Linked DNA regions of Oreochromis niloticus. The protein of the gene in region 2 interacts with the protein of the main gene of each other region in a pairwise test. Links are inferred from orthologs where the notes say so. Each region holds a gene or a part of one and is shown on either strand. Other genes may lie near its edges. The genes, in order: ribc2 and rad54b.

Evidence for each region.
Region 1: the proteins of rad54b (region 2) and ribc2 interact in a two-hybrid assay, tested with the Homo sapiens proteins (2 studies listed by BioGRID and IntAct). The two-hybrid records come from large-scale screens. The link is inferred for Oreochromis niloticus from reciprocal best matches to the Homo sapiens genes RAD54B and RIBC2.

What each region holds. Positions count from the first base shown.
Region 1 is NC_031972.2:62,002,260-62,013,881, reverse strand, and holds ribc2 (RIB43A-like with coiled-coils protein 2), read left to right. Parts: upstream 1-7,538; 5' UTR 7,539-7,639; coding exon 7,640-7,756; intron 7,757-7,846; coding exon 7,847-7,928; intron 7,929-8,023; coding exon 8,024-8,344; intron 8,345-8,435; coding exon 8,436-8,554; intron 8,555-8,651; coding exon 8,652-8,825; intron 8,826-8,933; coding exon 8,934-9,100; intron 9,101-9,106; exon of another isoform or gene 9,107-9,183; coding exon 9,184-9,253; 3' UTR 9,254-9,437; downstream 9,438-11,622. Other genes in the region: probable polypeptide N-acetylgalactosaminyltransferase 8, read left to right, coding at 1-2, 100-219; ada2a (adenosine deaminase 2-A), read right to left, coding at 10,097-10,187, 10,276-10,478, 10,592-10,749, 10,918-11,026, 11,160-11,250, 11,488-11,615. UniProt on the Homo sapiens protein: Microtubule inner protein (MIP) part of the dynein-decorated doublet microtubules (DMTs) in cilia axoneme, which is required for motile cilia beating.
Region 2 is NC_031976.2:20,049,875-20,061,111, forward strand, and holds the start of rad54b (DNA repair and recombination protein RAD54B), read right to left. Parts: upstream 4,614-11,237; 5' UTR 4,497-4,613; intron 3,495-4,496; 5' UTR 3,484-3,494; coding exon 3,337-3,483; intron 3,199-3,336; coding exon 3,012-3,198; intron 1-3,011. Other genes in the region: rnf41l (RING finger protein 151), read left to right, coding at 6,700-6,905, 7,063-7,202, 7,550-7,576, 7,911-8,073, 8,156-8,276, 9,495-9,899; virma (protein virilizer homolog), read right to left, coding at 10,712-11,136. UniProt on the Homo sapiens protein: Involved in DNA repair and mitotic recombination. May play an active role in recombination processes in concert with other members of the RAD52 epistasis group.

The DNA.
Region 1 (11,622 bases), on a different chromosome or scaffold from region 2:
AGGTACTACATAATGAAGTTTTTCAATTCAGGTTTGTAAAACTCATGACATGTGGAACCGGTTTTAAATGAGTTTATCACACGTTGTTCTCTATTCCAGGGCAAAGAACTGAAGAACAGACAGACAAAGAGATGCCTGGAAATTATAAACCAGAAACTTCTAATACAGGAATGTACAGGTCAAAGATGGCAAAGTCAAAACATAGTCAAACCCTTTTAAAGTGTGTTTGAGCTCTGCTGATAGCCCAGTGTGTTACATCTGAATGCCCTTGGGGACATTAAATGTATTTGTTATTAAATGTATGGGATAAAATGTATTTTCTTTTCAATATTATTCATGTCACTTTTTTGATAAAGTTTTATAATGCAGGTTATTTAGAAGTAATACCCTAAAATTTTGTACAAAACATTTTCAGTTTACAGTAGAACTGCAAACGTTGAGGCTTTCACAATTTTTTAAACAAATGTCTGACTAGAGGTGACTTAAATGGCACTTCATTTGCTTACAAAACCATCTGTCATTTAGCTTATAAGCACACATTGTGCAACAATGTTAATTCTATTTTCCTCAAGGACACCTTTACATATTCTGTAAAAGTACACATTAAAGTCAACAAGTTAAATCATTTTATCTTCAAAAGTTAATGTGCTTTATATATCATATTTTATTTACTTTCCCTTTATACAAAATAAAACAAAAGAATAAAAAACAAAAACAACTACCACAACAACAACAAAGAGAAAAAAAAGTAACACAATAAGCAGTCTGAGACATGTAAACGGAAAACTAATACAGTATATATGATTCGGTCTACCAGTCATTTACACATTTGTCCTGACAAACTCAACCCGCCACTGGAGTGGGGCTGCCCCTCTCACTATGGTTTTCTTCAGACCATCAGGTAAGTAATCCAATAGCGGGTGCCATATATCCAAAAGAATATCATCATTGCCACTTAATTTTGCACTCAGTCTTTCCATTGGTAAACTCTAAAGATTTCTTTATACCACTGAGTTATTGTTGGTGGTTTTTCATTAATCCAATTGAAAAGAATACATTTTCTTGCCAAAAACAATAATTTCAATAGTAGTTTATATTTGTTTTTATCTGGAAATTTGTTCAGAGTTGGCAGCCCCAATAAATACTGAGCTGGATCTTTTTGTATTCTGCTTTTAAATATACCTTTTAATTCTTTTGTTACACAGAGGCAGAATTTTGAGATTTTTGAGCAAGTCCAAAGACAGTGCACGTAGGACCCCGCCGCAGATTTACATTTAGTACATTGTGCTGACCTGCTTGGATCAATTTTATTCAGAAAAATAGGTGTTCTATACTGTCTATGTAAAATTTTATATTGTATTTCTTTAAATCTGTTACTGAGAAATAAAGAATGCACAGATTGTATGCACTCACTCCAGGCATGATCATCACACTGACACTGGAGGTCACCCTCCCAACTCCTAATCAGTTTTCCAATATTATGTTTGTTATAACCTTGTAGTGCATTGTAAAACTGTCTTATAGTACTATTATCTGCATTTAAGTGTAAAAAGAAATTTTCCATGGGTCCTAGTTGCATTGTATTGTGCAAAGTATCAAAACTTGAAGTAATTAAGTGACAAGCCTGTAAAAATGCAGAAAATTCCATTTGATGTATTCCATATTTCTTTTGGACCTGCTCAAAAGACATACAAACATTCCCATTAAACAGATCACCCACCACACGTATTCCTGCACCAAACCATCTCTGAAATACTGCACTTTTCATTCCCAGTGTAAAGTGCAGATTATTTATAAAAGGTGTTAGATAACTCAGTATAGGATTACTTTCAGTGTATTTATTCATATCACACCATGTTTTTAAGTAAGTATCAATCATTACTTTGTTATGTTTTTTAATATATTTACTCACTATTTCGGTTAGGAGATTAAATGGCGAACATGTCCAGGCTTCTAGGAGATTCTCTGTCTCTTTTAGATATGCGTGGATCCATTCATGTATAACTCTACTATGGCATGACCAGTTATACAGCAAAATGTTAGGAAAGGCAAGACCCCCTTTATCTTTGGGCAGCGGTAACGTTTTCATACTTAATCTGGGTTTCTTACCCCTCCAAATAAACCTTGACATATCTATTTCAATTTCTTTTACAATTTTTTTGGTCAGTGTTATCGGGAGCATTTGTAAAGGATATAAAAACTGTGGCAACACATTCATTTTAATTAAATTTATTCTCCCCATCCAAGAGACCAGGAGATCCATCCATCTAGCAAGATCTCTTTTGACGCTTTTATGAACTATGTCTATGTTCTGTTTCAATATACTTTTTATATTAGGTGAAATGTGTATCCCCAAGTACTTAAATCCAGAACCCGACCAGGTAAATGGGATATTGCATGTCATAGGCAAATTTCCCAGTGGCATAGCAATAGTTTTGTTCATATTAACCTTATACCCGGACAAATATCCAAAAGTTTCTATAGTAGATAATACAGAGGGTATAGAATCCTGGGGATTGGTGACAAACAGCAGAACATCGTCTGCGTATAGTAAAATTTTAAATTCAAATCCTTGAATTTGGTATCCAGATATATTTTGATTATTTCTAATGGCCTCTGCCAGTGGTTCAATTACTAAAGCGAAAATTAATGGGGAAATCGGGTCCCCCCTGTCTTGTTGATCTCTGTAAACAGAATTCTGATGATTTAATACCATGAACTACAACACATGCTCTTGGGGTGACATATAACAATCTGATCATGTCTATAAAGCCCCTGCCCAAGCCAAATTTCTCCATCAAAAGTTAATGTGCTGGAAACAGGAAAAAGGACAAGCGCAAGAATTTGAGAGATTTTCACAAGGACCAAATTGGGATGGCTGGACGACTGGGTCAGAGCATCTCAAACCTGCAGCTTTTGTAGGCTGTTCCCAGTCTGCAGTGGTCAGTATCTACCAAAAGTGGTCCAAAGGAGGAACAGTGGTGAACCAGGGTCCAAAGCTCATGGTCAGAAAATGCTGGCCTGTGTTGTCATGTCCAATAGACGAGCTACTGTAGCTTAAATTGGTGAAAAAGTTCATGCTTGTTTTGGTTCTAAAACTAATGAAGAGGCATCTTTTAGCCATTATGCTCCAAGTTTAGGACGAGTCTACCTGATAACCCACGTGCTGCTGACACTGTTGAGATTTTTAGAACCAAACTCAAGTATTTTCTTTTTAGTTTGGGTTGTGTCTATTTTCATTGCATTATTTGTTTACATGTTTATTCCCCTCTTTCATCTTACTTGCCTTTATATTCACCTTTTACTTTTTCCCCTCCAGCATTTCCAAATGACAAGGTGGTGTCTAATGTCCAGGCAGGGCTGTAGGATTGAAGGAGTGATGAGATGGTGTAGTGAAGGGACATGTGTGTAGTTTTATTTTCTGCTTTTTATGAATAGAGCACTTTGAACTGCATCCTTATTGTCTGAAAAGTCCTGTATGAATAACATATTGACTGACTGAAAGGTTTCAGCATCAAATGCTGCGTATGTTTGTGTAGCTGTAGACAAGTCCATGCTGTCCAAACTGACCCCCATCTATTGCCAAATCCAATGCAATGGAAAAAGCTGGCCTGGTCTGATGAATAATACTTTCTTTAACATCACGTGGATGGCTGGAGCGTGTGTCGCTTAGCTGGGGAATGCATGGTACTAGGTTGCACTTTGGGAAGAAGCCAAGCCGGCAGAGGGAGTCAGCGTAATCGTTGGGCAATGTTCTATTGGGAAACATTGGCCATCCATGTGGATGTTATACTTTGACACATCACCTACCTACACTGTTTCAGAACATGCCTACCATTTCATGCAAATGGCATTTCCTCATGGCAATGCCAACAGGAACTTTCCTTTCACATGTTAAGACTTTATTTCTTGCTCTGTGGCATCTCTTATGTTAATTTTAGATTTAGACATGATTGATTTTTAGGATTGTCCGACTGGTTTGTGTCAGCACAACAGAAAAGCACACTTGAATCAGATGTTCTAATAATATCCAAGTTGGTGGCACAATAGCATTAAAAAACAATTTGTTAAACTGGATATACTGTACGATTATTGAAAATGCATGATTGTGGACATCCTTGTGTAGGAAATAGACCCAACACAAGATGAAAGATTTCCTATTAAAACTTTACCAACAACTTAAGCAACCAATGTCATCATGTCCAAAAACACATTATAGAGTCAGCAGATGCTTGCTAATTGAGGGAAATGTTTACTTAACCGAAAAGATGAAGTTTGGGATCCCTGTCAATAGAAAAATGTGCCAGCGTCACTACAATAAATGAGCCAAATACAGGCTGCATACCTTCTGCGTATGGCAGCATGAGGGTATAAAAAGAGTGATTCAGTACTTTGTTCTTTAAACTCACTGTTCTCACGATAGCTAGGGCAGCCAAAATTTGCCAACAACGCCACCTTGGGAATTCCACCCAAATAAATGAGTAGAAACACCAGTAAGGTACACAGATTTGTTCCTCTAGTATGAGGCAGAAGACCAGAGTTCACAATTCAAACTTTGAATTTTATTACACAAGGAAAAACATCGTTTTAAAACTGTACACATTCAATCATACTGGAAAAGGGAGTTTGTGTTCAGGACTGAGACTTACCAGCAGATGATGATGATCACTGAGTACTAGAAAGGGCAGCTTATACATACCTGACCTGCTAAACAACTCTCACCTGGACGGGAGAGGAGCACCTCCCGACCCAGGTGACGCAACATGCCAATGATTTCTACCATGTAAATAGCCCACGTCAGAATAGTTTAGGTCCAAAACTAACAATAGTGCTAACAACGCGTTACATACCTCTTCTATTGTATTGTGCGCACCTGAGAAAGAGTGGTAAATGCCCCACCCCAACAGCAACAGGAGATGTGACAGCAAAAGGCCTCTAAGTGGGAAACCAAGTTAAATTAAGCAGACAAAACATCCTTCGTCTGTGCAACGGGCACAACATGTGTACGGCGTCAATGCACCTTAAAACATGCAGCCCACCAAACAGCGAGCGACAACAGATGATTGAGGTGATAGAGCCTCATTATACAGACACAGCGCCCCTGCTGGAAATAGGTCAGCATATTCAAAACAGGCATGCTTGCTCATAGATAGCTAATGAGTACCAGAATGTTACTGGAGATGCACTTTTTACTTTCTCATCTCAACTGTTTTCCCACCAAACCACGGAGATGACTTCGATGAGCATGGGGAAATGTATCATCAAGATACAAAAGTGATGGAAAACCAAAAAACACACACACACATAAAACATATTAAGGATTGTAAAACATAAAACTGTTGTTGGAACCACACACATATATGAAGAGAGAGAGTATGCATAGCATGCAAATGGCTACCAAACAGCCATCATAATTCGTCATACAATGAGAACCGGACAAATCAAGAATTGACAATGACTAATTAATATTGTGCTGAACACAGTCCAAAAGATTCAGTCAGCTACATCAGTGCCTACTGTTTACTATCATAGCCAAGTGGCTAACAAACGTAAACAGACGTTTTCACTATCCCTACTAATTAATGTTATCCTGTTGTATCTCTGTTGTGGTCAGTGCCATCCTCTATGGTGTTGCATGCTGGGGCAGCAGGTTGAGGGTCACAGATACCAACAGACTAAATTAACTGATCCACAAGGCCAGTAATGTTGTGGGGATGGAGCTGGACTCCGTTAGGGTGGTGTCTGAGAGGCGAATGTTGTCCAAGATAAAGACAATGCTGGATAATACCTCCCACCCACTCCATGATATGCTGGCTAGCCACAGGAGGATGTTCAGTGAGAGACTGAGATTACCCATAATGCACCACTGAACGACACAGGAAATCATTCCTGCCCGTGGCCATCTCCCTGTACAACTCCTCCATCTAACACACTGTGAACACTGCAATAGTTACACCCTTTTTACACACGCTCTTTTCTACTCTGTAATATTCTTGTCAATTTTCTTGATAGTTATTTATAATCACCTCTGTTAATTCTTGATATTTATAATTGAGTGACCTGTATATATTAGTGCTATTTCTTAAGTGTGTAAAATCTGTAACATAATGTATTGTTTGGAGTTTAGTCTGTTACTGTTACTATTTTTACAATTTCTTCTTGGAGCAACTGTAACCCACACAATTTCCTTAGGGATTAATAAAGTATTCTGAATATGATTCTGATTGTTTCAGGATGACCTGCCATTATCCAATGACACATCTGCTTACCGGTTGCTCGTTTCTCCTCCTCTTCTTTTCTCTTTTTTCTAAACTGAGCACCTGATGGCTTTGAACTTTTCTAGTCCAACTTCCATTGGTTTTAATTTTGCACTCCAGTATGAACACCCATCCCCCAACCCGAGGATCACCACAACATAACCTAACAGACCTACACCTTAGCTCACAGATTCACTTTGTCTAGGTTTTATTTCTGGGATTTCGCACAACCCAGGATTCATTTTAAATTGTCATTGATCCCTTTACCCCTCGTCCTAAAGTGTATATTTATTTTCTTACTCTTCTTATATTTATTGTTTGTTTACTTGCACTGCTGTAACTGGAGCCTCGTCGTCTCGTCTCTCTATATACTGGACTGTATATATCGGAGATGACAATAAAGTTTACTTTGACTTCAGCAGCAGGCGCACCGAGGGCTCTCGCGCTCAGTTTTCGTGTATAGAATTTCGAAAAAACATCGGTGCAGAATATAAGTCTGTATCATAATGTCTGGTGTTTTCGTGTTTGTTTTTATTTTGTTTTATTTTGCGAGTTGGTTATTAGATGCTGCTCCAGCCAGCCAGAGAATCCCCCGCCGCCCCGCCCTCTCCTCTCTGCGCCGCAAGCATCAGGCGCACCTCGCAAACGGAGGGCGCCCTTACTCCCAGCAAATGGGCGATAGAAAACCGATTGGTGCCCATGCCATCCCCAAACTGCGCTGGCATGATGTCGGGGTAGCATGAGTAAATTTTTTTTTTTTTTTTTTTTGCCGATGCCCGTGATGCCGCCCCCACCACGATGCCGCCCCGGGCAACCGCCCGTGTCGCCCGTATCAAAAACCGCTACTGGTTGCGTGTCCCTCAAACATCTTTTCTTTAGAGCTGAAGTGGCAGAAATGCGCTTTAACGCAGAATAGAGACATCAAAACTAAAATGCTTGGAGATGGGAGTTAAAATTCTAGCAGCAGAAAAGGGATCGGTTGGATGGTTTGGTGATGTGGATCTCAAAAACATGACGAGCAAATATGAGTTGGATTGCAAATCTGAAATCAGTGTTGTTGTTGTTTTAAAATAAAAAAAGATAGTTTGTTTTTTTTAATAACCCAGGCCAGTGTTAGTTATTGTTCTGCCATTTTTAATACAGGTCCAAGATTTAATGCCTATCAGTAGGTGGACTCTCGACACCATCCGCGTTGCGACTGGTGTGCTTTCATTGGCTGAAATGTTTCGATCCGAGGCGTCTGGGGTGAATGCTCCGGAAAAAGCCGACGTCGTACGAGGGCTCGCGAACACTCTGGTGTCTTAGCAACCAGTGTGTTTGAACTCCAAGTTTCAGACGGGAGCAAATCCTCAACTAAATGGTAGCCACCGCTGTGAGCCAAAATGCGTAAAACTGAACTACTTTCAATGCGCCTCGCCAGAGCAAGTCTGGAGAAGCGTCACAACATAGAGACTGAAAGAAAAGAAAGAATTTTTAATGAGAAACTGAGGACGATTGGGGTACGTGTGGGTCTGAATTAAACAGAAGTGGAAAGTCTGTGGCAGAGGAGGTTAACGCATTGAGTTTGTCTCTAAATGACTGTTCTACAGGTTGACAAGGAAGCCCTAGATGAGCAGGTGAAAGAGAAAAGGGAACAAGTAGAAGCTGCAAAAAAGGAACAAAACGCCTATGGTGAGTTACTTCAAATTTGTTTCCTGATGTGTGTCATACAATCCTTTATTAAAGTGAACTGTGGTATATGTGTGTGGCATGTGATCGTCATGCAGATGCTGATATGCTCCATTATGGCAAAGTAGCTTGCATTCTCGACAGCCGCCAAATGAAGGAGAAGCGTGCACTGGAAAAAGCCATTGTTGCCTACAGGCAGAAGTACCAGCAGCCTGAAGATCGACAGGAGTATGATCTGAATGATCCCGGCCGTGTTAAAAAAATAGAGCAGAATGATGCACAGATGATGCCTCCTGGCCTGGTGGGTGAAGACCCAGAAAGTAAGGTCAGGCTGCAGAACCAGAGGGAACAGCTCAGAGAGTGGCTCACCCAGCAGCAGACTGAGCAGGCGGTGGAAAGGCATCGACAACAGCTGGAAGGTGGGTTTTGCCTTAAGACCATGCTTAATACACATGCTCAGTTCAAACACAAAAGGCAAGCTCCCGTCATATTTTCTACTGAAATTTTTAGAGCAGCGTTATGACCAAAGCAGAGTAGAAATGGACAACAGAGTTGTGCAACTTCAGAGCCTTGAGATAGAAAGGAGAAAGGCAGCTGCCATCGCCACTAAAGACTTCAATCGGTCTATGGTGAGTGAGAGGAATTTAACTGCATTAAACGCTGCTATAGGCTTCAATAAACATTTTTTATTTCCACCTTATTACTCATGTGTCTCCATGGGAAAAGGCTGAAGAAAAGCGGCGTCAAGACAAGCAAATCAATAGTAGGCAAAGCCAGTTTCAAGGTACCCCGAGTACGGAGGCCGTGCCCGGCCTGAGTCCCAGCAGTGACAGGAGGACACCTCCTGAGAGCCTGCAGCAGATCATTCAAATCCAGAAATATCAAATAGAGGAGAAGAGGGTAAAAAAAAAAAAATTATATCTGCACTCAAACAGTATGGATCATTTCAAAGGTAGCCCATATAAAGCATTTTATCTCCTAATGTGTGTGTTGTCTGTGCACGTAAAGAGAAAAGAACTGGAGAAGAAACAAGAAGAAGAGTGGCACGATCGCGTGCGCCTGAACTCAGCTCGTACCACTCTGCTTATTGAGAGGCAGCAGGCACGAATGAACAGGCAGCTGAGGCGAGACCTGGACAGCGCCAACGCCCAGCTGGCCGAAACACACAAACAACAGTAACGTTTGAGCAAAATTGTTTTTATTAAATTTAACACAGTGTACATTGTCTCACTGTTTTTAACAATGTTTCATTTTTAAGGAAACCAGACATTAAAAGAGGACGTATTGATGACAGCTTCTTCTCCAAGTTCAACACCTGCAGCAGATGAGGGGTGATGCACTGCTCTGATACCAGTGATGGTGTTGCATAAAAAGAACAATGAATAAACGGAATATCACAGTGAATAAACAGCTGCTTTTATGTGAAATGTAGTTCAGAACATTCATGTTTGCATGATTTGAAAAATGTTGATTAAATTTCAGATACTGCTTTAAAAAGTAGCCTCTGAAAGATGATTAGTTTTTGTGTTTCAAGTCTTTCGCAGTTTTGCCTCCATAAGCAAATATTAATTACTAGTCAGTTGAAGGCATAAGTGTTAAAATTATATTCAAGTAAAAAATCTTACAGATGTTTAAAAAAAAATGCTTTCTTTAAAGAAAAATGTTCCATCGGTCATATGATTTAAAACACACACACAAAATATATTTTGTGTGATATATATATCAGATATATATTTTATATATCTGATACATATGCCTGGTTTGATGTGCTTTGGCTAATGTTGCCACCTTTTTATGTTAATGCTAATATATGCAACATGTGAGAGAACTACAGAGAGAAATAAAACAGCAGTTAGCATCTCAATCACTTAAAGCTGTGTGACACTGTTACTGTATTTAACATGGCATTGTGAGTCTGTTTTACCTTTTTTAAGGCTTTTTTTTTTCCACAGTAGGCGACATGTTATGACACATAATTATTTCATTCATTACAAAACATTGTGGGAAACAACACTATATTTGTGCCTACCACAAACCTGCTCAGTGGCTATTTCAGCAGTCTTTGACATTTACACTCATGATTCAGCTTCGACTGTCCTACAAAAGGCCCCTTTCACAGCAGAAAGGACTGCTTGTATCATTGTTTGTCATTTTCAAATACACGTTTCCTACTAAAAGGCATTTTCAGAGACAAACTTATCCCATCTTCTCTGCCACAGAGACAGTGCTTTCTCCTTTTGCTCAGGAGTCAAAGAACTATACCTGAAACACAGACACGGGAACATCAGTCACCTTAAAGCATGCTAGCACACACAGTGCAACTACAAGTAACATCTTAGCAGAACCTCACCTGATAGAGTTTATGGCCAGCTGTTTAAGGGAGCCTACATGGGATCGCATGCCCCCAAAACCAACGAACGCTTCATAGAAGTCATAAGAGAGGCCAAACGCACCAAATATGGCGGGGTCATCAGAGCTGATGACAACCGGGTGGTTTTCAGACATCAGTGCAGCAGCTGGATGGTTTCGCAAGTCTTTGACCAACTTCAACACCTGGGTAAGGGTATGTGGAAGGAGAAGATGAGACAAAGGGTTTTAGCCCACTCACACTACAAACAGGAAAATATTACCATCCGTGTACAGTATAGTGGCAGATAGCAGTGTACCTGGTTGGAGATGGGGCACACCTCCACAGCAACCCCATATTTTCTAGACCACTCTTTGGCGACTGGATGGCGTGTTAGTGCAAATCCATGTCCAATGCGTGACGTATTAAAGAGAAGAGCATCCAGTATGTTCTGATCTATTTCTGTACCCTGAGAATCTGCACACAGTAAAGACAAACAAAATGAATATGACTTCCAAATGCTTTTTTGCACTCCCTGGATTAAACATATAGTAAACTTCACATTTGTGCAATTTTATATATGGGGGTTAAAAAACAAACTTATGATTGTTATACTGGTACACTGGAATCATGATCAATTCTCACTTGTCTCTCCAGCATGGAAAAAGAAAGGAAGTGGGACCCCTCTCGCCACAGGGAGCGACAAGGCATCTCTATAATACCACAGAGGTCGCCCTCCATCCTCCCAACCCACCTGTAACGCAAACACAAGTTTTTGTGCGTACTTGTTTTCAACAAATATAGAAGCCATGATACCTTTTCAGTCCATTTGGGATCTTCCAGCATGTTTTGTTTTCAAGATTTCAAACTGTAAAAGTGTCTCTTACCAGATCAAAACCAGCCATGATATCAGGAAAGTCTCTGTAAAGCTTCATAGCCTCCTCCACAACTTTAAGCATTGTGTTAGTGTTTATTGTCCTGAAATACACAGGAACAGAATACTTTATTAATTCCAGTTGCTCCAAGATGGTAAGAACAGTAACTAAATTAAATAAGTTACAAAATATAACAAAATAGCTCCAATAGTTACAAATACCTCTAATTATTATAGATAGAATTGATCAGCAACTAAATCCACATTTTATCTGTCAGAAGCAGTGTGGAATTAAGAATAAATAGTACAGACTAATTTTTAAAAGCACTCAGAGCAGCAACCTTTTGGCAGTAAAGATGATTCTCACTCCAACAAAGTCAGGATGGTTTGCTACAAATTGCCTTGAGATGTCCTGGCAGGTCTTCAAAGTCCAGGCTCTGTCATAAGTGCGGCCATCCAAATCATATATCTAAATA
Region 2 (11,237 bases):
GACCGACAACCTCAAGCCAAATATTTGTGATTAGTAACGTCATCGTCATAATTTTTTTGTCAGAAGGGTCATTAAATGCTACATTTTTAAAAAGTTGGAAAGTTATTTTATGGGTCAGGGTTTAGAAACATGATATATTATCTTGTATATTATTATAATTATATTGTTTGTAGAAATCCTGGAGGAATTTCCGGTTTGTGTTCTAGTCACTGCACATTTTTGTGTTGTTTATTTACTATTTATTATTTCTTCTTATGTACTGATATGGACTGTGGGTGGCTGTGAATGCAAAGTGGATGGTGTGGCTCAAGATACAGCAGAGCTTTGTGTTCAAGGTGACAGTGTTTGTATCATCTCTGTCTTTCTTTTAAAAAGGCAACAGAATCAGTATTATTCTGTATGTACACATTAATATACATGATGCTTTTTGCCCGAGGCAAAAAAATTGCAGTAGTGTGTCAACATCTGTCCCCCTTCCTCATCTTTTGCATATTTGTCACATTTACATGTTTCAGATCATCAAACAAATTTAAATATTAGACAAAAATAACCTGAGTAAATTCAAAAAGTAGTTTTTAAATTATAATGTATTAAGGGGGAAAAGTTATCCGAGTCTACATGAAAAATTAACTGCCACCCTTGTAAAATCATAAATTAATTGAATAACCACAATTTTTAGAAAGTTGAGTTCAGTTTCTCTGTCTACACCCGGGTCTGATTACTGCCAGACCTGCTGAGTTACTAAAACCTGTCTGACAAAGTGAAGTAGGTTCAAAGATAAAGCAACACATCATGCTACGATCTAAAGAAACAGCTAAGAAACAAAGTCACTGACTGTCACAGCTGTCAGTCAGGCTTTGGCTTTGGGACTCCAGTGAACCACGCTGACGGCCACAAATGAAGAAAACTGAACAGCGGTGAACCTTCCCAGGAGTGACTGGTCTACCAAAATTACTCCAAGAGTGCATTGACGAGTCATCCAGCAGGTCACAAAAGAACCCAGAACAGCATCTAAAGAATTGCAGGCCTCACTCACCTCAGTTAAGGTCAGAGTTTATGATTCAACAATAAGAAAGAGAAGGCATCCATAGGAGAGTTCAAGGAGAAAAGTACTGCTGACCAGAGAGATCACAAAGGCTCGTCTCACATTTGCCAAAGAAAAACATCTTGATGATCCTCGAGACTTTTGGGAAAATATTCTGTGGACTGACAACACAAAAGTTGAGCCTTCTGGAAGGTTTGAATCCCGTTACATCTGACGTAACACAGCATTTCATAAAAAGAGCATCGTACGAACAGTCAAAAGTGGTAGTACAGTACTCTGATGGTCTGCGGCTACATGGACGACTTGCTGCAATTGAACCATGAATTCTGCTCTCTATCAGAAAATCCTGAAGGAGAATGTCCGGCCATCCTTTTGAGCCCTGAAGCTTAAGCTCAGGTTCTGCAGCAGGAAATTGATCCAAAACACACCAGCTCAAAATGGCTCAAAAAAGAAAGAAAAAAAAAGAAGAAAAAGAAGAAGACGGTTTTGGAGTGTCCTAGTCAAAGTCTGGATTTAAATGTGTTTGAGAGGCTTCGACATGACCTTAAACAGGCCACTCATGCTGGAAAACCCTCCAATGTGGCTGAACTAAAGTAATTCTGCAAAGAAGAGTGGGCCAAAATTCCTCCGTAGTGATGTTAAAGACTCATTGCTACTTATCGCAAACACTTGATCGCAGTTCTTGCTGCCAAGGATGGCACAAGCAGTTATTAAGTTCAAGGGCAATTACTTTTTTCACACAGGATCAGGTAGGTTTAGACAGCTTTTTCCCCTTAATGAATAAAATCATCATAAAAAAAACCCCCACTTCATTTTGTATTTACTTGGGTTGTGTTTTTCTAATGTTAAAATGTATTTGATGATGTCAAACATGTAAGTGTGACAAATATGCAAAAAAAATGATTAGCAATAAAGCAAAATGAAACCTTGCATAGATTTATTGCTGTAGACGCCTTGAGGCTAACCCAAATTCTTTCTACATAAAAACGATTGAAAACCATAATTAACCACATTTTAGAATATATGTCATAAATAAAGTAAAATGATCAAAAACAAGAATAGTCCCATTAAAAAGTATTAATGTATAAAATATAACGGAGCCCACAGCTTGGTCACTTGAGAGCTAATGAAACAGAAACGGCTATTTCAGTAGAACCTTCATGACTAAACTACCTAGACCTAATGAGGCATCAGGTATGCTGCATGCTGAGGCTTGCACTGTCTTTGTCATTGTAACACACAGGGTTAATTGGTTTAGCTTTTAATCTCACCTGCATTTAATTAAAAACTAATTGGAAGTCTTGTTTTGATTTAGGAGCTATCCAGCTTAAATAACAGCTTGTAATGGAACCATGATTTTGTTTTCTGGTGGAAATCTTGAAGCGTTTCTCATTTTCAAACATTGCATCTCCTCATCTCCTTAAGGAGAGGGGAATGCTTGCTGGATTAACTTTGAACAAAGACACACAGGTGTACTCTTCACAGAAGTCTTTTCAGTCAAGAAAAATGGTGCAAGGCACAGCTGGAATATTTAAATCATGGTACAGGAAGAATTCTATCTGAAACTCTACCTCTAAGTTGTAGCAATAACTCAGTGATCACACCATCAACCCTTCACTATTTGTGGGTGTGATTTAAAAAAATAACTACGTTTAATTAAAAGAAATATAAAAGTCATCATGAGCAATGTTATGTCCATCTGATTCATCAGACTCCTTTCCCTCCTGGCCTTCCACTCTTTGTTATGGTCTTTTTTTTCCCTCTCTCTCTCTCAAACGTATTTGTCCCCATATTTGTCTTTGCACATTCCCTGATATACATTGCTGAAACTATGAGAATCTCCCTCCAGGAATCAACTGACATTTGTGAGTTTTTATATTGCTGCTATGATTATTAAATTGGACATAAGAAGTGAGAAGATGGGGCAAGAAAAAGACAAGGCTTTACATGGCTGTTTGTTTTTTACCTGCTGGTTTATAGTCTTCGGCAGAGGCTCCTAATCCAGGGTTCTGATGCTTTGTCTCAGCCTCATTTTCCTTACTCTCAGTTGCACTGAGAACACGAGCCAGAACCTTTGACAAGGCTGGGGCAGCTTCGGGCTGGACGTTAAACTCTGTTTTACTTGCACCTGGTGTTGCAAGGCTTCTCTGGACCTGCGAAATGAGGTAAGGACAAAAGAGAATTCCTAATATAAGGGAGTGTGATAAAAAAATAATGGAAAATAATCAAATTAGGATGACAAATACTGAGGGTTTAAGACTGTAGGAAAAATGTTGAGAAAAAAAACTTACTTTATCCAGTGCATTGCCTAAACCAAGTTTGGGGGTCAGAGGCTTGGATTCAGCCACAGAAAGTGAAGTACATGCACCAGGTGGCACAAATCGAGGCTTTTTCACTGCATTACCCAAGAGCTTGCTGGGAGCTCCAGAGCGCCGCATCTTTCTTTTTCCTAAAGACAAAAAGCAACCGATACAAGCAGATTAATAACTGCCATTATATTATTTTTCTTAGCACATTATTGCACCGGTTTAATCAGTGACTCAGAAAACAGCACATTCTGAAATCAAAATTTTCAACCCTCTTGAGATATGATTCAGTATCGTGAAATGTATTTTTTGCACTGTGGGTTTCATTCTCCTGTAAGTCAGTGTTTCATCCGGTAATAAAACACTAATATAAAGCTAGAAGATGGGTAGCTTCCTCCTGACTGCTTTTCTCTTCTTTTGTGTATATTTCTGATCAGTGATCAGTTTTACCTCCTCACAAACTATAAGGGGAATTTATGCACACTAATATAGTAAATTTCATGCATTACGTTTTATGCAAATACAGTAACATTTGGTTGACACAAAATCCCAACAAACACCTGGACTTGCCTTGAGGCGTTACTGCATGATTACCGCTTATTACAAACGGTTTAATATCAGGGGAAAAAAAGAAAAAAGAAAAAAAAACACCTTCCTCAAAGGTACTCACTTTAATAACTTCGTAGGAGGCATGTAGCAAAAACTATCTCGTTAGCTCAAAACAAATCCAACTCCAACACTTTTCCTTTTAATGTCACAGTCCTTTAGCATTATTTAAACACATCTAGCTAATGATTTGTCTCTATTAATAGCAAAAAAATGAAAACTTGGATTATTTGCATATGTAAATTCTGCACTGGGTAAACTGTGCATATCGAGACGAACATAACTCACTCAATCCTTTTTTTATCATACATAAATCCTTCGGGTCACTATCCCTCTGATGGCTTTCTAGCTTTTTCGCGTCCTCAATTCCTGCTTATACTGGAATAATCGGCATATCACGATAATTTCTCGATAGCAACATGAACCTGTTACACAGCCAGCTAGCTAACACTAGCATAAAGATGATAATAACGCGGTTGGAAGTCTAATTTAGGCTTCATTATCAAGTCAGATAATGTGTGACAACGTATTGTACATACCCCGACGAGCTAAAAGTTAGATGAAAACACCTGACATTGCAGCCTTTAACTCAATTGCAACAGAACTCGTCTTGTCTTTCCTCTTCAGTGACTCTAGCATCGGTTCAGTTTCTCCCGCTGAACAGCTTGAAGAATCTGATTGGGCGAACCAATACAAATGGGCGTGGTTAAAACGAAAGGGTACGTTTGGTTCTTCTGTCCCTACAGTTTGGCCGTCACATTCAATGGAGTCTATATCCCGCTTGAATTTCAGCAACCGGTCGATCGATAACTTGTGAATCGAGCTCACCTACTACTCACTTCACCCCTTCATTAAATCACAGTGAAAGCGTGAAAGGAGGAATATTTGGGAAATATAAATATTGGTATAACCGTTTAAGTAAGCTGCTGTTCGTAATATTTTATTTCACTAGCACAGCCACCACAGTAAACTCGCCTCACATGTTTTTTGCAAGGCTAAGGCAAACGTGTCAACTTCTCAAAATTTACCGCAAATTACTCAATTTGAGGGTACCTGAAAGTAATACTTATATAGTAGTTGTATTAAGTTATTTTCACTAATACTTAATTATACTGATATTTAATAATATTAATTATTAATACTGATATTAAATGATAATACTGACAGGACCTTTATTAAGGGGGAGAAAAACCTATCCAAACCTCCAAACCTTTCTGCATAATTCAAGTGAGGTTGAGCTTCAGGGTAAGAACGGACATTCTCCTTCAGGATTTTCTGGTAGAGAGTAGAATTTATGGTTCCATCAATTACAGCAAATCATCCAGGTCCTAAAGCAGGAAAGCAGCCCCAGACCATTACACTATCACCACCATGTTTGACTGTTGATATGATGCTTTTTAATGAAGTGTTAGTTTTATGCAGTTAATTTTATGCAGAAGTAACCAGACTCAAACCTTCCAGAAAGTTAAACTTTTGTCTTGAGGATCATCAAGATTTCTCCATTTACTGTATGTATAATGACTTTCACTATGGTTCACTGGCATCCCAAAGTCTTAGAAATGACTTTGTAACCCTTTCGAGGATGATAGATGAAACTTTGTTTCTCATCTGTTCATGGTTTCTTTAGACGGTGACATGATGTGTTACTATTTGAGCTCTTTCACCCAACTTCACTTTGTCAGACAGGTTCTGTTTAAATGATTTATTGATTCAGGTCTGACAGTAATCAGGCCCGGGTGTGGTTAATCAAAGCTAATTCATGATTTAATAAAGGGGGCAATAACTTTTTCACATAGGGTCAGGTAGGTTTGGATGGCTTTTTTATTAATAAATAAAATCATCTAAATTGTATTTTGCATTGATCTTTGTCTAACATTAAAATTAGTTTGATGATCTGAAAGATTTAAGTGTGAAAATACACAAAAAACTAAGAAACCAGGAAGGGGGAAATACTTTTTCAGAGGATGTATGCATAAGAGAGCTTTACTTGGTACGGGGTCATTTTGAATTACTATTTGTGTGATTATAAGTCTTACTGAGAGGATATAAAGAGAACAGGATGATGAGTCCAGGCATTTGGGGTGCTCTTTGATTTTTGTGATCATCCATTCTTGGGCCATCTGATATTGAGTCTGTAATCCAATCATGGAGGGAGAGAGTGTAATCCATCTTAATCCCACATTCAGAGAGAGAGAGAGTGAGAGAGAGAAACCTAGGATCGGGTGGGTCATTAAGAGAGAGAAAAACAGCTGAAGGACAGCAGTAATCTCTGAATGCTTCACAACAGCAACACAGGTTTTTAATAGCTAGACAACAACACTGCTGCAGAATTTGTCTGCTTTAGACTCAGTGTTCAGTGTTTTACTGTAATTCGGCCTGTCTCTCTCATCTGATCTGGTCCCGTCTGACAGCTGCCTTCCTGTGTCCTGAACCCTTGTTGTCAGGGTTACCTCTCCACAGAGACGCACTCTCAAAGGTAGGGGAGGGCTTCAAAGGAGAGGAGACCCTCACCTTGATGGTGTTAAGAGCGAGGATGTGGCAGAGATAGGACGGCAGGTTGCCCGTGGAGGAACAAGTGGAGTCAAAACCTGCAGAAAGAAGGAAGAAGGAGTTGGTTGAAGTGAAAGTTGACATCTGAGGTAAGATAAAAAGAAAATAAACAAATGAGGAAACAAGACTGCTTCCTGCTTTCCTCATGTGTTGTTTAATCTGTTTAACTTTTTTTTTTTTTTTTTTATTAGGATGGGCTATGATCTGGAGAGGTTTGTAGGTTACGTGAATGAGGGTCTACTGTGCTGTGTGTGTCGAGACGTGCTGGAGCGCCCCCTCCAGGCACCCTGCGAACATGCTTACTGCAGCTCCTGCATCAGCACCTGGCTGGTCCATCACCACTCCTGTCCTGAGGACAGACTGCCACTGGATGTGGGTAGCCTCAAACCACTGTACAGGTCAGTCTCCGTCTCCTGCAGTTGTGCTGCTTCCTTCACTTCCTCGTAATCATGCACTCTTAAGTTTTGCAGATAAGTTTATGCAAGTCAGTAGCATTATAACAGTATCCTGCTTTTCTCACTGTAAGAGTTTCTGTCTGTGTTGGTTTGATTGCAGGTACATGCGTAATGATCTGAACCGTCTGCAGATCCGCTGTGTGAATGCAGCACAGGGGTGTGAGGTGGTCTGCTCCCTGGAGAGCCTCCACTCACACGAGGACGAGTGCGAGTTTGCCTTCATATCCTGCGCTAACACAGGTACATGACAACATCACACCGGACAAAACACTATTCATGCAATGTGTTTTTATGAGTCTTTATGACAGTAAAAGTCAAACTGCTATCCTCATGGATGTGTATGTTACAACTGTAATGTGAAACGTCTGTGGGGGTGGACAACAGGTGGGCCCTGTTGTTGTCTTGGCTACCCCAGGAACAGGTGCACTTTTGGGACTGAAAGCTCCCACAAGCCTCACACAGAGAGCACTGTGTGAGGGTCGGCGTTCATTCATTCTTTAATGAGGGATTTTAAGGTCTGTTTGAGACATGTACGTGCAAGTGTGCGCTTTTGTGCTCACCATGTGTCTGTGACCTGTCTTTGGCAGGTGGAGAGTACATATGTTACCACTGTGGTAGGTTGAATCACATGCGGTGTGTGTGCATGCGTTGTGCAGTTTAAGTCACTAAAATCACCTGAAATTTCTGCTGTTGTGTGACTGCAGTGATCTGTGACTACACTGTAGATTTAATAACTCTACTTTGGATACACAAAGTGTTTACAAAGTACATTTTTGGTGGTGTTAGTAGATTATCTCCTCCTCGTACACACAGATGATTTTTATGGAAAAATTCATGCCTGCAAATAAATTTCATCTTTGTGAAGATGCTTTAGAAGCCTGTCTTATACACTGATAACCTGGTGGCTCCATGCAAGGCATTTGCACCCTTGTGACTTTTCCCTCTCAGGCTGTCCCGTGCAGGTCGAGAGGCGGGGCTTGGAGGCTCACCTGTCAGAATGTAGCTTTCGCAGCAGGGAGTGTCCCAATGGTTGCGGCCACACGCTGCTCTCCATCGACCAGTCACAACATAACTGTGTAGCGGAGCTGCGCACTGAGGTGGAGATGCTCAGGTAAGCTCAGTGCTGTCTCCTAAGCCTAAACTCAGAGGTAACACCACCACCATAATGTGGTCTCATTAAATGTCGACTGTAGGGTGGAGATGCTGTGCAAGGTGGAAGAGGTGAGAAGAGAGATGGAGTCTCGGCTGGACTCGCAGAGGAGACACATGGTGCAGAAAGAGTCTCAGCTGAAGAACGAGGTGGAGGAGCTCAAGGTGAAATGCCATGTTACCACATAAATGCAACAGATTTACTATATGAGTAGTACTAAAGCGCAGATTTATGACCTTGGGATACATTTACTATGAAAGTACAATGTAGTGTTTTGTAAATCATTTAAACAGTTGTAGAAAAAATCCTGAAAGTTTGAAAGCAAAATGTTTTTACAAGTCTGGACTGAGCTCAGGCCTATAAATGGAGGCAGTTTATGGATCTTTTTTTATGCACATAAAATCACAGTAGTAAAATGTACACCCTCTTCTGAGGATTCACATATCGGTCATTTCAAAAATAATCTGGTCCATAGCAGGTTAATAGATACAACCTTAGGTGAACTACACAGCTAAATGACATATCACATAACAAAACTAAGCCAAAATGCAGAAGCAGTGTATGTACAGTTTTACTGGATCCACAGGATTTAAGAGGGAAATGAAGCCACATGCAGATAATCAAATGCACTTAATTGGCATGAAAATCTCTAAATGAAGCAGGCAGTTTGCTGTTTTGGAGCATACATAAGATGTGTGTTAACACAATGCCAATGGGGAATAACATCAGTAATGATATTAAACAATCTGGGAAAGGTTATACGGTAATTTCCAAACAGTTTGAAGTCCACAATTATAGAGCAAGGAAAATTACTTATGAGCAGAAAACACTCAAGACAGTTGCCAGTTTTCCCAGGAGTGGATATCCCAGTGTCAGACTGTGCAGTGCTGAGAGAAACTGTAAAAACAACAACAAAAGAAACCCCCTCAAACTACATCTCAGACTCTACATGCTGCAGCTTATTAAAAGTTGAAGTTCATGACAGCACAATTAAGTATGGCGTGTTTGGAAGGGTTGCAGGCGAAAGCATCTTCTCTTTAAAAATGGCAGCACAGCTTAAGTTTGAACAAAGAGTTCTGGGACGATGTAATCTGGACAGATGAGATGAATATTTGGAGGAACTCAAACATAGCATATCAGCACAAGCATGTCACACTAACTATGAAGCACAATGGTGGTGGTGGTGGTGGTGGTGAATTTGGGCTGGATTTGTATTCACTGGAATGTACCTTGTAATCATTGAGTTAACCATGAACTCCTCTGTAAACCAAAGTGTTCTAGAGTCAAATGCGAGGACATCTGTCCAGGAGCTAAAGCCTGGCTGAAATTGGCATCACACGTAAAACTACTCTATTGCTTCACGTCATATCCTGTCTGTGCAGGGTCAGCTATCCCGTGTGATGTGTGACATGCGTGCGCTGCTAGGTGCAGAGCGTTTGAGGAGACAAGAGCTGGCAGAGGCAGAGCTGGAAAAGAGAGAACTGCTAGAGCTCCTCAGAGACCTGCAGCCCACCAGGAGCCAGAATCCCACTGAACAGGCAGCCAGGGACCAGCATCAGGGAGAGGCACAGACATCAGGCTGGGAACTCCACACCGAGCCAACCAGACAGCAACAGAGAGAGGCTTCTTCACATGCCTCCAGTCTATCACTGCATTCAGCCCAGGCTTCACATGCATCAGGCCCACCCCCATCACCACAGCTGGGTGAGGGAGGGCGCAAGGGTGGGACCCGGAGTCTGACCTTGGACTGCATCAAAAAGAAGAGCAGGGAGGTGACGGTGATCTGAAAAAGCTGCAATATATGAAATCTTTATTTTTTTATTATTTAGCAACAAAATTAGGGTTTTGGTAAAACGTGTTACAAAAGGAAGGTTTTGTTACGCTGTGTTTTTAATGCTTAAAGAGCAGGTCTTTGTGTGTTGGATTTCCTTCAGACCCCCAATAGAGATTATTATTATTTGACCATGACATCAGACTAAACCATTATTTTGAACCACCTGACGTCATTTTAAATGTGTCGTCAGTGAGCTTCAAGAAGTTGGAATCACCAAACCTGTATTTTTACAACTGAAGTTAACCCCATAACGATTCAGTGTGGGTTTTTGTGAAATTGAGAATGCAAAAAATAGACAAGTTTAAAAAAAATTATGTTGAATTTTTTTCAATGGGAGAGAAAGTTCAATAAAAACTGAATTTTCAAAAAAAATTGAATTTTCTGGCAATTATTTCATGGTTCCAATTTTTAAGGTTTAAAGGTCACATATTCCACCTATTTAAGATATATTAATGTTAGTCCCACATGACCGCATAGTTCAAGTTTCCATAATATCAACCGTGCCTGTATACCACTGGTTTTGTGCTCCTTTTCGAACAGTTTCAGGGTTTGTAGCTTTAAATGAGATCAGCCTTAGAAATAACAAAAAACACCACCACCAACAAAAAAAAAAAAAAACTGGGGAAAAACTGAATAATTCTGCAGACACAGCGACAGACAGCACAAGAGGGATCACATTTGAATCATTTTATCTGAGAACCACAGATGATTTATTTATTTGACATTCCCTTAAAAACACACAAAGGCCTCATTTTGCTATCACTTTTATTTTCTGAATACAGCTAATAATAACAAAACTGAAAACATCAACACAGTCTGTACATTATTTGTGACAACATCATACCACCACGTTTCCATGGAGACAGCATATATAATATCCTGATTGGCCCTTTTGTTGCCGTGAGAGGCTGCAGTCATTGTCCAGGTGGATTTACCTGGTGAAGGAGCGAACATGTCTGCCCCTCCCACCTCCGCTCCCTCCTCCACCGCTGAACTTGCTCCCCTGAGATCCTCTTCCCCCTCCACCGCCTCCCCGGCACCTCCCCCAGCACCGCCGCCACCTCCTCCGCCGCTAATCCAAGACAGGCCGGTACCTCCTCTGCCGCGTGGAGCTCGATCCCGAAGAGCCAGCCGATACGCACCTGAAGTGTGGAACGAGTGAATCAAACTTTTTTTTCCCCCTATAACACCTTTAATACAGGTCAAAGCGATAAAAATGTAAAACAAATGCAATAAAACAGAACATAAAAGACTGAAAAAGAGAGCGGTATAAAATGTAAGACTGTGTGTG